Anolis sagrei: one gene and its partner. The protein of the gene in region 2 interacts with the protein of the main gene of each other region in a pairwise test. Links are inferred from orthologs where the notes say so. Each region holds a gene or a part of one and is shown on either strand. Other genes may lie near its edges. The genes, in order: FCHO1 and PTK6.

Region 1 (7,695 bases), on a different chromosome or scaffold from region 2:
GCTTTGAAAACATCCAAAATCAAGTAAGAGCCAAGGGCAAGAATAACATGTAATAATAATAATAATAATAATAATAATAATAATAATAATACACTTGGGAAGTGTCGTGTGATCCAATACAACCGCCAACATAGTGATCTTGTTTGCTGTGTACTAATCTTGTTGTGTTTCAAATAATAATAATAATAATAATAATAATAATAATAATATTAAAAAAAACAGTCAAGGTGGTCCCAGCGGTGATCGGAACACTGGGTGCAGTGCCTAAAGACCTTGGTCAGCACTTGAAAACAATCGGTGCTGACAAAATTACCATCTGCCAGCTGCAAAAGGCCATCTTACTTGGATCTGCACGCATTATTCGCCGATACATCACACAGTCCCACACACTTGGGAAGTGTCTGACGTGTGATCCAATACAACAGCCAGCAGAGTGATCTTGTTTGCTGTGTCCTAATCTGGTTGTGTATCTAATAATAATAATCGTTCCCAAGACTTCACATGGCCACAATGTATATATACATACACACAAACACATAAATGCACACACACACACACACACACACACACACACACACACACTGTATAATAGTAATATACATAATAAATAATAACACTACTATATAATATAATAACGGCAATAATTATCATTATATTGCTACTAATAATAAATATAATAGTAATAATAGTGTTCCCAAAAATTCACATGGCCATAATTACACACTCACACACACACACACATCTATCTGTATCTAACTAAATAATAAAGTCAGTGTTCCTATGTATGCGGCGGTGCGGGTATGTGGCAGCTTTGTGATTGGCTGCCATTTCCATAGGCTACTGCGACCCCCCACGATTGACGGACCTGGACCAAACTTGGCACATGGTTTAGGGGAAGACAGACCATGGATGATGGGATCTGCAGTACTTCCAAAAACGTAAGCTTTCAAAGACCACTGCGACCCCCACCAATGACAGATCAAGACCAAAGTTGGCCCACTTTACAACCTGGTGTAGTTAGAGGGAGGATGGACCATGGATAATGGGATTTACAGTCTCTTCACCCAATTCACTTCCCACAGAACACTGTGGTCCCCAAAAATCAGAGACCTGGACTAAACTTGCCACTCAGACCCACCATGACCCACTTTAAATCCTGGTGAGGTTTGGGGGACATAGGTCAATGGATGATAGGAGATGCAGTACCTTCACTCACTTCCTGAAACCACTACAAGTCCCAATAATGATGAATCAGGGCTAAACTTGGAACACAGAGCCCCCGTGACCCACTCTACATCATGGTGCAGTTTGGAGGAGGATGGACTATGGATGATGGAACTTGCAGTAACTTCACTCACTTCCTGAGACCACTGCAACCTTCACCAATGCCTGATCAAGATGAAGCCTCGCACACTGAGCCCTCATGACTCACTCTACATCCTGGTGCTATCGGGAGGAGGATAGACCATGGACAATGGGACATGAAGTACCTTCACTCATTCCTGAGAGCACTTTGACCCAAACCAATGACTGACTCAGACCAAACTTGGCACAGAGAATCCCCATGATCCACTCAATATCCTGGTGTGGTTTGGAAGAGTTTGGACCATGGATGATGGGACTTGCAGTATCTTCACTCACTTCTTGAGATGACTGCGACCCACACCAATGACTGATCAAGCTCAAACTTGACATACAGAGCCCCCATAACCCACTCTACATCCTGGTGTGGTCTGTGGGATGACGGACCATGGATGATGGGACTTGCAGTACCTTGACACACTTCCTGAGACTACTGTGATCCACACCAATGACTGATCAAGACCAAACTTGACATACAGAGCCCCCATAACCCACTCTACATCCTGGTGTGGTCTGTGGGATGATGGACCATGGATGATGGGACTTGCAGTACCTTGACACACTTCCTGCGACCACTGTGATCCACACCAATGACTGATCAAGCTCAAACTTGGCATACAGAGCCCCCATAACCCACTCTACATCCTGGTGTGGTCTGTGGGATGACGGCCCATGGATGATGGGACTTGCAGTACCTTGACACACTTCCTGAGACAACTGTGATCCACACCAATGACCGATCAAGACCAAACTTGACATACAGAGCCCCCATGACCAACTCAACATCTTGGTGTGGTTTGGACAATGGGACTTGCAGTACCTCGACACACTTCCTGATACTAATAAATAATATAATCAATAAAATAACAATAGTATCATAAAAATAATAATAACAATAAAAAGAATAATAAAGATAATATGAAATGGGACTGTTGTGTATTAATGCTCCCTCCCCACTAGACCATATAAGCTATTTGTATACTAATAAATAATAAACAGAATGTTGTTTTGACGATAGATAGACGATAGACAATGCAGGGAGCGTATGAGTATGCAAAAAAACGTGCACGCCACAATTGTTATGCAAATATATGCAAATAAGGTGCACACTTCCTGTCCTTACTATATATATATATATACACACATGCAAAAAAGGTACAATTAGACCAATCTATGTAACTAAGATGCACACTTCATGCCATTGCAATACACACACACATATATTAGCATGCAAAAAAAAATTGACAACCACCATATCAGATGCACACTTCATGTCATTACAATATATATATATATATATTGTAATGACATGAAGTGTGCATCTGTTATGGTGGTTGTCAACACACACACACACACACACACCAAAAATGTACAATTAGACAAATCTATGCAAATAAGATGGACATTTCATGCCCTTGCAACACACACACACATATGGATGCATAAAATATTGCAAAACACTATGATAATGTACATCTATGCAAATTAGATGCACATACTATTATATATATGTGTGTGTGTGTGTGCATGCACCTTGGCAAACCCCCTCCCTTTCAAGGCTAATGAAGCCCCCTCCCTCTCTCCCTCCCCGCAGTGGTGGGGGTGTGTCCCGGCCCCCGACCTGTCGCGCGCCGATCCCGCACCTGCGCCGCGTCCTCTGCACACAAAACCAGGCGGGGAGCGGGCACAGCCAGCCCCCCCCACCCCTGCGGAGCACAAGCGCTCCTGATTGGCCTGCCCCGCTGGGCTTATTTGCATGCTTAAAGGAGAAGCGGCCCTATTTCCATCCCGCTATTGGCGTGCGCTTCTGCGCAGGCGCGTACAGGCCTGCCTTACATTGTCTTGTGTTTACATTTATATGCCGCCCTTCTCACCCCGAAGGGGACTCAGAGCGGCTTACAAGATATATTATACATACAATATATTATATTATTAGCATAGTACAATATCAGTATGATATATTACTATATCATACCATACCATTATATTGTAATATTATTAGTAATATAAAATATATAATTATAATATTACATTATTATTAGTATTATATTGTATTACATTATATTATAAATATTATATGTATATACATTACATTACATTATAAACATCTATCTTCTATCTATCTAGCTTTCTATCTATCTTCTATCTATCTTCTATCTATCTATCTTCTATCTATCTATCTAGCTAGCTAGTATCTATCTATCTTCTATCTATCTATCTAGCTATCTATCTTCTATCTATCTAGCTATCTATCTTCTATCTATCTATCTATCTTCTATCTATCTTCTATCTATCTATCTTCTATCTATCTAGCTATCTATCTTCTATCTATCTATCTATCTATCTATCTATCTATCTATCTTCTATCTATCTTCTATCTATCTAGCTATCTATCTTCTATCTATCTAGCTATCTACTATCTATCTATCTATCTATCTTCTATCTATCTTCTATCTATCTAGCTATCTATCTTCTATCTATCTATCTTCTATCTATCTATCTTCTATCTATCTATCTATCTATCTATCTATCTTCTATCTATCTAGCTATCTATCTTCTATCTATCTATCTTCTATCTATCTATCTATCTATCTTCTATCTATCTTCTATCTATCTATCTATCTATCTATCTTCTATCTATCTAGCTATCTATCTTCTATCTATCTTCTATCTATCTAGCTATCTATCTTCTATCTATCTATCTTCTTTCTTTCTATCTATCTATCTATCTTCTATCTATCTAGCTATCTATCTTCTATCTATCTTCTATCTATCTAGCTATCTATCTTCTATCTATCTAGCTATCTATCTATCTTCTATCTATCTATCTATCTATCATCTATCTAGCTATCTATCTTCTATCTATCTATCTATCTATCTATCTATCATAGAATCAAAGAGTTGGAAGAGACCTCATGGGCCATCCAGTCCAACCTCCTGCCAAGAAGCAGGAATATTGCATTCAAAGCAACCCTGACAGATGGCCATCCAGCCTCTGCTTAAAAGCTTCCAAAGAAGGAGCCTCCACCACACTCCGGGGCAGAGAGTTCCACTGCTGAACGGCTCTCACAGTCAGGAAGTTCTTCCTAATGTTCAGATAGAATCTCCTCTCTTGTAGTTTGAAGCCATTGTTCCGCATCCTAGTCTGCAAGGAAGCAGAAAATAAGCTTGCTCCCTTCTCCCTGTGGCTTCCTCTCACATATTTATACATGGCTATCATATCTCCTCTCAGCCTTCTCTTCTTCAGGCTAAACATGCCCAGCTCCTTAAGCTGCTCCTCATAGGGCTTATTCTCCAGACCCTTGATCATTTTAGTCGCCCTCCACTGGACACATTCCAGCTTGTCAATATCTCTCTTGAATTGTGGTGCCCAGAATTGGACACAATATTCCAGGTGTGGTCTAACCAAAGCAGAATAGAGGGGTAGCATTACTTCCTTAGATCTAGACACGATGCTCCTATTGATGCAGGCCAAAATCCCATTGGCTTTTTTTGCCGCCACATCACATTGTTGGCTCATGTTTAACTTGTTGTCCACGAGGACTCCAAGATCTTTTTCACACGTACTGCTCTCGAGCCAGGCATTGTCCCCCATTCTGTATCTTTGCATTTCGTTTTTTCTGCCAAAGTGGAGTATCTTGCATTTGTCACTGTTATTGTAATATTATTAGTAATATAAAATATATAATTATAATATTACATTATTATTATTAGTATTATATTGTATTACATTATATTATAAATATTCTATGTATATACATTACATTAAGGTAAAGGTAAAGGTAGTCCCCTGACATTAAGTCCAGTCGTGTCCGACTCTGGGGTGTGGTGCTCATCTCCATTTCTAAGCCGAAGAGCCAGCGTTGTCCGTAGACACCTCCAAGGTCATGTGGCCGGCATGACTGCATGGAGTGCCCTTACCTTCCCGCCGGAGCGGTACCTATTGATCTACTCACATTTGCATGTTTTTGAACTGCTAGGTTGGCAGAAGCTAGGGCTGACAGCGGACGCTCATGCCGCTCCCCGGAGTTGAACCTGCGACCTTTCGATCAACAAGCTCAGCAGCTCAGTGCTTTAACCCACTGCGCCACCGGGGGCCCCACATACATTACATTACATTATATTATAAACATCTATCTTCTATCTATCTAGCTATCTATCTATCTATCTTCTATCTATCTTCTATCTATCTATCTATCTATCTTCTATCTATCTATCTTCTATCTATCTTTTATTTATCTATCTATCTTCTATCTATCTATCTTCTATCTAGCTAGCTAGCTATCTTCTATCTTCTATCTATCTATCTATCTTCTAGCTAGCTAGCTAGCTATCTTCTATCTAATCTATCTTCTATCTATCTATCTATTTTCTATCTATCTTCTATCTAGCTAGCTAGCTAGCTATCTTCTATCTAATCTATCTTCTATCTATCTTCTAATCTATCTTCTATCTAATCTATCTTCTATCTATCTTCTATCTATCTATCTTCTATCTATCTATCTATTTTCTATCTATCTATCTTCTATCTATCTATCTATCTATCTATCTATCTATCTATCTTCTATCTAGCTATCTATCTATCTTCTATCTATCTTCTATCTAATCTATCTTCTATCTATCTAGCTATCTATCTTCTATCTAGCTATCTTCTATCTATCTATCTATCTATCTTCTATCTAGCTATCTATCTATCTTCTATCTATCTTCTATCTAATCTATCTTCTATCTAATCTATCTTCTATCTATCTAGCTATCTACTATCTAGCTATCTTCTATCTATCTATCTATCTTCTATCTAGCTATCTATCTATCTTCTATCTATCTTCTATCTAATCTATCTTCTATCTATCTAGCTATCTATCTTCTATCTAGCTATCTTCTATCTATCTATCTTCTATCTAGCTATCTATCTATCTTCTATCTATCTTCTATCTAATCTATCTTCTATCTATCTAGCCATCTATCTATCTTCTATCTAGCTATCTTCTATCTTCTATCTATCTTCTATCTGTCTGTCTATCTATCTATCTATCTATCTATCTATCTTCTATCTAATCTATCTTCTATCTATCTTCTATTTATCTATCTATCTTCTATCTATCTATCGATCTATCTTCTATCTAGCTATCTTCTATCTTCTATCTATCTATCTATCTATCTATCTATCTATCTATCTATCTATCTATCTATCTTCTGTCTAGCTATCTTCTATCTTCTATCTATCTATCTATCTATCTTCTATCTATCTATCTATCTATCTATCTATCTTCTATCTATCTTCTATCTATCTATCTATCTATCTCTCTATCTATATTCTATCTATCAGTCTTCTATCTATCTATATAAATGCTCTGTGCATAATGAGTTCCCTAAAAACAAAAGAACCAATAAACAAAATCACACCAAATTTGGCAACAAAACGTCTCACAACACAAGGAGTGACCATCACGCAAAACATTATGATTTTGTCATTTGGGAATTGTCGTTGCTGGGATTTATAGTTCACCTACAATCAAAGGGGATTCTGGACTCCACCAATGATGGAATTGAACACAGGGCTCCCATGACCAACAGAAAAAACTGGAAGGGTTTGGTGGACATTGACCTTGAGTTTGGGAATTATAGTTCACCCACATCCAGAGAGCACTGTGGACTCAAACCATGATGGATCTGGACCAAACTTGGCACGAATATTCCATATGCCCAAATATGAACACAGATGGAGTTTAAGGGAAATAGACCTTGACATTTTGGGAGTTGTAGTTGCTGGGATTTATAGTTCACCTACAATGAAAGAGCATTCTGAACTCCACCAAAGATGGAATTCAACCAAACATGGCATACAGGACTTCCATGACCAACAGAACACACTGGGAGGGTTTGGTGGGCATTGACCTTGAGTTTGGGAGTTGTAGTTCACCTACATCCAGAGAGCACTGTGGACTCAAACAATGATGGATCTTATTTATTTATTTATTTATTTATTTAAAAGGGTCTGGACCAAACTTGACACAAATATTCCATATGCCTAAATATGAACACAGATGGAGTTTGGAGGAAATAGACCTTGACATTTGGGATTTGTAGTTACTGGGATTTATAGTTTACTACAATTAAAGAGCATTCTGAAACCCACAAATGACAGAAATGGGGCAAACTTCCCACACAGAACCCCCATGACCAACAGAAAATACTTAAGGCCATCCAGTCCAACTCTCTTCACCAGGGCAAGAAAATGTAATCAGAGCCCTCCTGACAAAGAGCCATCCAGCCATAAATATAGAGAGATAGATATGATTCTCACTCACACACACACACAGATATAGTATC
Region 2 (7,873 bases):
CATCTAATCACCTCTCAACAAAAGATTGCCCCAGGCAATGCTAATCAAGCTGGTTAGTTGAAACATTCACACTTAGCTCCAGCAGACAAGAGTTCTTTGTCCCATCCTGGTCACTCCACAGATATATAAACCCATTTTCCTAGTTCCAACAGACCTCACTACCTCTGAGATGCATGCCATAGATGCAGGTGATACGTCAGGAGAGAATGCCTCTAGAACATGGCCATATAGCCCGAAAAAACCTACAACCCAGTGATTCTGGCCATGAAAGCCTTCGACAATAGATAGAAATCATTTCTCTCTCTCTGACAGCAGGTTGGAATGGAAATCAGTAATTCCTCTTCAGCTCTGTGGTTCTCTGTTAAAATGGGAATTAGACAACCCTCCTGGGATTGACTGCAAATCCCGGCAGCCCTACCAAATGGTGAGGATTGCTGCCAGCCAGATCTGGAAAGCTGCACCACAGTTCTATCTATAGTCATGGTTCTAAGTGAGAAACTTTGCAAAGAATGCTTTTAAACTGCACTGAGCATATTTTTAACTCTTCCTAACAGCAGAAGCACTCAGATTTCTAGAATTATTGTGATTTTATTTTATTGTATGTTGGCATTGAATTCTTGCCATTAATATGTTGTAAACTGCCTTGATTCTCTCCAGGGGTGAGAAAGGTGGTATAAAGATAAGGTAAAGGTAGTCCCCTGACATTAAGTCCAGTCATGTCTGACTCTGGGGTGTGGTGCTCATCTCCATTTCTAAGCCGAAGAGCCAGCGTGTCCGTAGACACCTCCAAGGTCATGTGGCCGGCATGACTGTATGGAGCACCGTTACCTTCTCGCCGGAGCGGTACCTATTGATCTACTCACATTTGCATGTTTTAGAACTACTAGGTTGGCAGAAGCTAGGGCTGACAGCGGAAGCTCACGCCGCTCCCCGGAATTGAACCTGTGACCTTTCGATCAACAAGCTCAGCAGCTCAGTCCTTTAACCCACTGCGCCACCAAATGAATAAATAAATGAGTGGGCTGAATTTTAGCTCATGTTCAAATCATGTTCCTAGTCTCTTTGGTCGAAGTGTGTTGGTGCAAAGTGGATTAGATGACATTCTTGCAGTGGCATTGCAGCCTTATTATATTCACTAGCATGCTTTTTCTCAGTAACTGAAGTTCAATATAAATGTACACCTCTGCTTGTTTTCCATATCTATCAGTCCAAATCTTCCAACATTTCACAAATTAAAACCTGAGACATGTGGTCAAACAACACCAGGAAGTGATCAAGTTGGCAAAAAGTTGTGGACATGGAGGAATAGAGACGTTTGGAAAGACTGCAGCAGTTTGCCTTTGGTTGAGTTTACAGGGAAGAACAAGACTTCTTTCTCCTCTCCTCTCCTCTCCCAGAAGGTGCATCTACACCACAGAATGAATGCAGCGTGATACCACTTTAACTGCTATGACTCATTGCTATGAAATCCCAGGACTTGTAGTTTGGTGAGGCAGCAGCACTCTTTGGCACAGAAGGTGAAAGGCCTTGTAAAAACAGCTGTGGATCTATAGCATTGAACCATGGCAATTAAAGTAGTGTCATATTGCAGTGATTCCACAATGCACACAAATTTTGACCTCATAAAGAGCATGTTTGACACTGTTTGCAGAAACTGAAGTAGGTTGAGAATAAATGGCGAAAATAGCAATGGAAGAGAAAAATTGGGATTTTTTTAAAGCAGCTGAAAAAAGAATTCTTTTATTACCAAAGTGCCATATAAAGATATTATATGGCTCTTATAGAATATACACAGTGGATACGTTCCAAATCTTTGCATGCATATATAAAATTGCAGATAATTGCTGTTTAAATGAAAGACTTCAAAACCAAGAACAACATATAGATCAGAAATGGGCAAACTTGGGGCCTCCAGGTGTTTTGGACTTCAACTCCCACAATTCCTAACAGCCTATCGGCTGTTAGGAATTGTGGGAGTTGAAGTCCAAAACACCTGGAGGGCCCAAGTTTGCCCATGACTGATATAGATTCATGCTGGGGGACCTAAAAATGCATAAGGAGGACATATTTTACCACTAAATCAAACTGTGAATACTGGTCCTGTGGATACAGGGGTTGTGCTGTACTTCTGTTACTTTTGCATATCTACCCAACTTTCATAAGTGCAGCACAGAAAGATGGAGAGAGGCATGAGAGAGATTGTGGCGCAGCGGGCTGAGTGTCAGCAGCATTAAGATCACTCTGACCAAAAGGTCATGAGTTTGAACCCAGCCCAGGTTGGAGTGGGTTTCCAACCAATTGTGTAGCCTGTTGTCGACCTTTGCAACTCAAAAGACAGTTGCATCTGTCAAGCAGGAAAATTAGGTACCACCTTAAAGTGTGGGAAGGCTAAAGTAACTAATTTATGAGGCCATAAAAAAGACTCCAGCAAAGCCCTCCAGCAAAAAAGCATGTGGGGAATGCGGAAGTACTTCATCAGCGTTGCAGATGGACGATGAAAGCGACAGCTCCCCTGGTGGCCAGAAAAAGTTAAATAGCCTCTTTGTATGTCTGTATATGTTGTAAGTCAAAATTGGCATTGAATGTTTGCCATATATGTGTACACTGTAATCCGCCCTGAGTCCCCTGCGGGGTGAGAAGGGCGGAATATAAATACTGTAAATAAATAAATAAACAATAAATAAGTCCAAAGCACATGAAACCTCGCTTCTTTCAAATCCATGTCCAATAGTCAGTACTTACGGTTCCGCTTCCACGGTCTCCTGCTTGGCCAAGTAGTTGGAGGGGACATAACCTTCTTGTGAATTCTTGCCCAAGGCATCCAGTTTCTTGGCCCACCACCAATCTCCTGTCTTCTCTATCACCTGGAACAGGTCTCCTGCCCGGAAGCTCATTTCGCTCTCCGTCATTCCTTTAAAATCCCACAAGCTGGTATAAATCTTGCTTCGGTTCCTTTTTGGAGGCTCTGGCTTGGAGCTCATGATGGTCCCAGGTCAAGAAGATAAAGCCCAAGAGGAGAAAACACCACAGTTTCACTATGAGCACAACTGCTTCTCAGAAAGCCATGCTCTTCAGCTGCAGTTTTCTTGGAGGTATAATACAAGGAAGTCTTTGCAAACCTGTTGCGTTGGCTTACTGGTAGGTAGTAAATCACTGCCAGGCGGAGACTTTGAAATGGAGGGGGAAACCCTTCTCGGCTTCCTCTTTATGGGACAGAAGTCGTAATATATATCCCAGCCCTGCCCTGTTGTTGCTCCTTGAACCGAGGGAGGAGGGAAAAGAAGAAGAGGAAGAACAAGAAGGCGGTGAGGTGATGACACACAACAACAATGCAAAAGGCTTTCTTCAGCTCTGGAGCAAAGCTTGGATTGGCTCTGCATTGCAAAATTAACATAGATTGATACCATGGTTAGATTCTTTGGAATCCTTGGAGTTGTAGTTTTATATAATCTTTCTCCTTTTCTGCCAAAGAGTGCTGGGGCCTCACCTAACTACAACTCCCATGGTTTTGCAGCATTTAGCCATGGTAGTTAAAATGGTGCCAAACTGCACTGATTCGACAGTGTCAGTGCAGCAAGTGAAATAACTTGGATATTGAAAAGAAAAATAGAAAAAGTGGGACTGTGGAATATTAATCAGGATTGTTGGGTTGCTGTGAGTTTCCCAGGCTGTATGGCCATGATTCAGAAGCATTCTCTCCTGACGTTTCACCCATATCTATGGCAGGCATCCTCAGAGCTTTATTTATTTATTTCCAGTATTTCTACCCCGTCTCTTCTCTATCCCTGAAGGGGGACTCAGGATGGCTTACATTTGGCAACGATTTCATGCCGCTACATATAAGCAATTACAATAATCCTGCAATAATTAAAATACAGGAAAACATTAATTAAAACACTACAAAAAGCATTAATTAAAACAATAAGCAGTATCATCAGCTGTAGTGCCTTTCCAGTCAAAGTCCAAAAGCCTGTTCCCAAAACCACAACTTCAATTTCCTGAAAACGAGGAGGGAAGAAGCCAATCTTATCTCATTTGGGATTGTGCTTCACAGGCGAAGGGCCACAGCCGAGAAGGCCCTGCCTCTCATCCCCGCCAAATGCATTTGCGATGTGGGGTCTGTTGGAAACTAGACAAGTGGGATTTATATATCTGTGGAATGTCCAGGGTGGGGGAAAGAACTCTTGTCTGTTTGAGGCAAGGGTAAATGTTGCAATTGGCCACCTTGGTTAGCATTGAATGACCTTGCAGCTTCAAGGCCTGGCTGCTTCCTGTCTGGGGAATCCTTTGAAGTGTTAGCTTCCCTGGTTGTTTCCTGTCTGGAGTTCCCCTGTTTTCTATGCGTTGTTCTTTATTTATTGTCCTGATTTTAGTGTTTTTTAATACTGGTAGCCAGGTTTTGTTCATTTTCATGCAGGAAGCAGCCAGGCTTTGAAGCTGCAAGGCAATTCAATGCTAATGAAAGTGACCAATTGCAACATTCACTCACTTCCAACAGACAAGTGTTTTGTCCCACCCTGGACATTCCACTTGCCTAGTTTCCAACAGACCTCACAACCTCTGAGGATGCCTGCTATAGTTGTGGGCAAAACATCAGGAGAGAATGCTTCTGAAACATGACTTTACAACCAGGAAAACTCAAAGCAACCCTGTGATTTCGGCCATGAAAGCTTTCAACAACAAATCTGGATTGCCTCTACCCAATCAGGACAGTTGACAGTTATGTCATGCAGTTCTCCAGATTTTTTTTAAGACTACAACTCCCAGCGTTCCTAAAGTCAACACAGTGGATGTTGGGATCTCCAGGTCAACAACTAGATCCCGACATTCATCCTAAAATTCCAGAGGGGATTAAGATTGCTAATCACCCCACCATTATATGAGATGCATTAGTTGTCACTTGCTGGGGATGATGGGTTCTGTTGGACTCACTTCCTTCTGAATATATCTGGTTTCCAAGCGAGGCAGGATCCAACTTGCTTAGTGGTTGTTGGTCGAAAGATAGTGCTAAGGAAACCATCTCACCTGAAACCCTGTAGAGAGACGGAGAAAGGATGTGAGTCAAGGTAGGCGTGTTCCTAAATGGGAATTTCGACAGGGATGGCTTTAAAATCTAGCTCGTGATGACTAGGCGCAGCGTGAAGAGCTACACCTGCTGGCATTCAGTCTTTCCAGGTTCATTGAAAAAGGTGTGCTTTAACACCTGTGTGTGCTGTGGAGAGATAGGCATGGGCAAGCTTCGGCCCTTTAGGTGTTATGGACTTCAACTCCTACAATTCCTAACAGCCTCAGGCCCTTTCCTTTTTCCCCTTAGCTGCTTTTTCCCTGGAAAGTTTTAAGCCGAGGCTGGATGGCCATCTGTCGAGAAGGCTTTGATTGTGTCTTCCTGCATGGAAGAATGGGGTTGGACTGGATGGCCTTTGGTGACCCCTTCCAACTATGATTCGAAGACTTCCTTCCTTTGAACTAAAGACGGCATCACCTGATATTATAATATTATGTAATACAATATAATACTAATAATACAATATAATAATTATATGTTTTATATTACATGTAATATTACTAATAATATTACATTATAGTGCTATAGTACAATATAGTACTATATAACACTAATATTGTGCTGTGATAATATAATATATTGTATGCACATATAATATTGATTATATTATAATGTAATACAATGTAATACTACTAATAATAAAATATAATAATAATAAAATATTTATATTACATGTAATATTGCTAATAATATCACAGTATAGTAATATAGTGCAATTTAGTAATATATAATACTAATTTTGTGCTGTGATAATAATATATCTGTACACATATAATATTGATTATAATGTAATACAATATAATACAAATAATAATACAATATAATAATTATATATTCTATATTACATGTAATATTACTAACATTACATTACAGTGATATAGTACAATATAGTAATATATAATACTAATATTGTGTTGTGCTAATAATATATTGTAAACACATATAATATTGATAATATTATAATGTAATACAATATAATACTAATAATACATTATAATAATTTTATATTTCATATTACATACAATATTGCTAATATTACAGTATAGTGGTATAGTACAATTTAATATATAACACCAACATTGTGTTGTGCTAATAATATATTGTATACACATATCATATTGATAATATTATAATGTAATACAATATAATACTAATAATACATTATAATAATTATATATTCTATATTACCTGTAATATTACTAATATTACATTATAGTGGTATAGTACAATATAGTAATATATAATACTAATATTGTGCTATAATATTGATAATATTATAATGTAACATAATATAATGCTAATAATAATACAATATAACAATTTTATATTTCATATTACATGTAATATTACAAATAATATTATAGTATTGTGTTGTACAATTTAGTAATATATAATGCTAATATTGTGCTATGCTAATAATATAATATATTGTATGTACATATAACTTGTAAGCCGCTATGAGACTCCTTCGGGATGAGATGGGCAGCATTAAATGTCATAAATAAATAAATATTCATTGCTGGTCTCCCATCCAAGTACTAACCACGGCAAAAACTGCTTAGCAGCCAAGGTCAGAGGAATCATTGTGTCTTCAGGGCATTTAGGCCTATATATATATATACACACATACATATATACACACACACATACTTTTTCTGCAGGATGTTTTTTGGGAACAGATTGCCACGGCAGTTGAAGCGGTGTCGAACTGCATTAATTCCACAATGTGGGCGTGCCCAGAGTTGCACAAGGAATTAATTCTGAGGGGAATGCCCCATTGACGTCAGTGGAATTTCTTTCTGAGTCAAGGAAGAGGCTGCAATAAATGGCAATCTCTCCAGCCAGCCTGGTTCCTCTTTCTTTCTTTTTTTCCAGTCTGGTCTTGTTCATTACTTGATACCGAGAAGTGGCATGTGAAATGTAAACACACTGGACACAATGCCTCTGAGAATGCACAGAGAAGATACACATAGCCTGCTCTCCTCTTTAAGAGGCGTATCTACATTGAAATATTAATGTCATTCAACACCACTTTAATTGCCGTGGCTATGGGATCATGGGAGTTGTGGTTCAACAAGGTCTTCTGCATTCTTTGGCAAAGAGTGACAATTCCTCACCGAACTACAAATCCCAGGATCCCATGGCCTTGAGCAGTGGCAGCTTTGGAGTTGTAGTTCACCTACATTCAGAGATCACTGTGGACTCAAACAATGATGGATCTGGACCAAACTCTACACGAATACTCAATATGCCCAAATGGTACCAAACTGCATCAATCCTATCAGTGCAGATTCTCATCTATATAAATAAAAATGTAATGTTCGTTTGTGGGATTAACAGAACTCAAAAACCACTGGACGAATTGACACCAAATTTGGACACAAGACTCCTAACAACCCAATGTATGTCCTTCACTCAAAAAAATGATGTCATTTGGGAGTTGTAGTTGCTGGGATTTATAGTTCACCTACAATCAAAGAGCATTCTGAACCCCACCAACAATGGATTTGAACCAAACTTGGCACACAGCAGTCCCATGACCAACAGAAAACATTGGAAATGTTTGGTGGGCAGTGTCCTTTGGTTTTGGAGTTGTAGTTCACCTACATCCAGAGATCACTGTGGACTCAAACAATGATGGATCTGGACCAAACTCTACACGAATACTCAATATGCCCAAATGCGAACACTGGTGGAGTTTGGGGAAAATAGAATCTTGACATTTGGGAGTTGTAGTTGCTGGGATTTATAGTTCACCTACAATCAAAGAGCATTCTGAACCCCACCAACGATGGAATTGAACCAAAC

The links.
Region 1: the proteins of PTK6 (region 2) and FCHO1 interact in binary tests that used the Homo sapiens proteins (3 or more experiments, as listed by UniProt). The two-hybrid records come from large-scale screens. The link is inferred for Anolis sagrei from reciprocal best matches to the Homo sapiens genes PTK6 and FCHO1.

What each region holds. Positions count from the first base shown.
Region 1 is NC_090034.1:62,482,865-62,490,559, forward strand, and holds the start of FCHO1 (F-BAR domain only protein 1), read right to left. Parts: upstream 3,054-7,695; 5' UTR 2,984-3,053; intron 1-2,983. UniProt on the Homo sapiens protein: Functions in an early step of clathrin-mediated endocytosis. Has both a membrane binding/bending activity and the ability to recruit proteins essential to the formation of functional clathrin-coated pits.
Region 2 is NC_090024.1:236,441,434-236,449,306, forward strand, and holds the start of PTK6 (protein-tyrosine kinase 6), read right to left. Parts: upstream 3,262-7,873; 5' UTR 2,982-3,261; coding exon 2,743-2,981; intron 1-2,742. UniProt on the Homo sapiens protein: Non-receptor tyrosine-protein kinase implicated in the regulation of a variety of signaling pathways that control the differentiation and maintenance of normal epithelia, as well as tumor growth.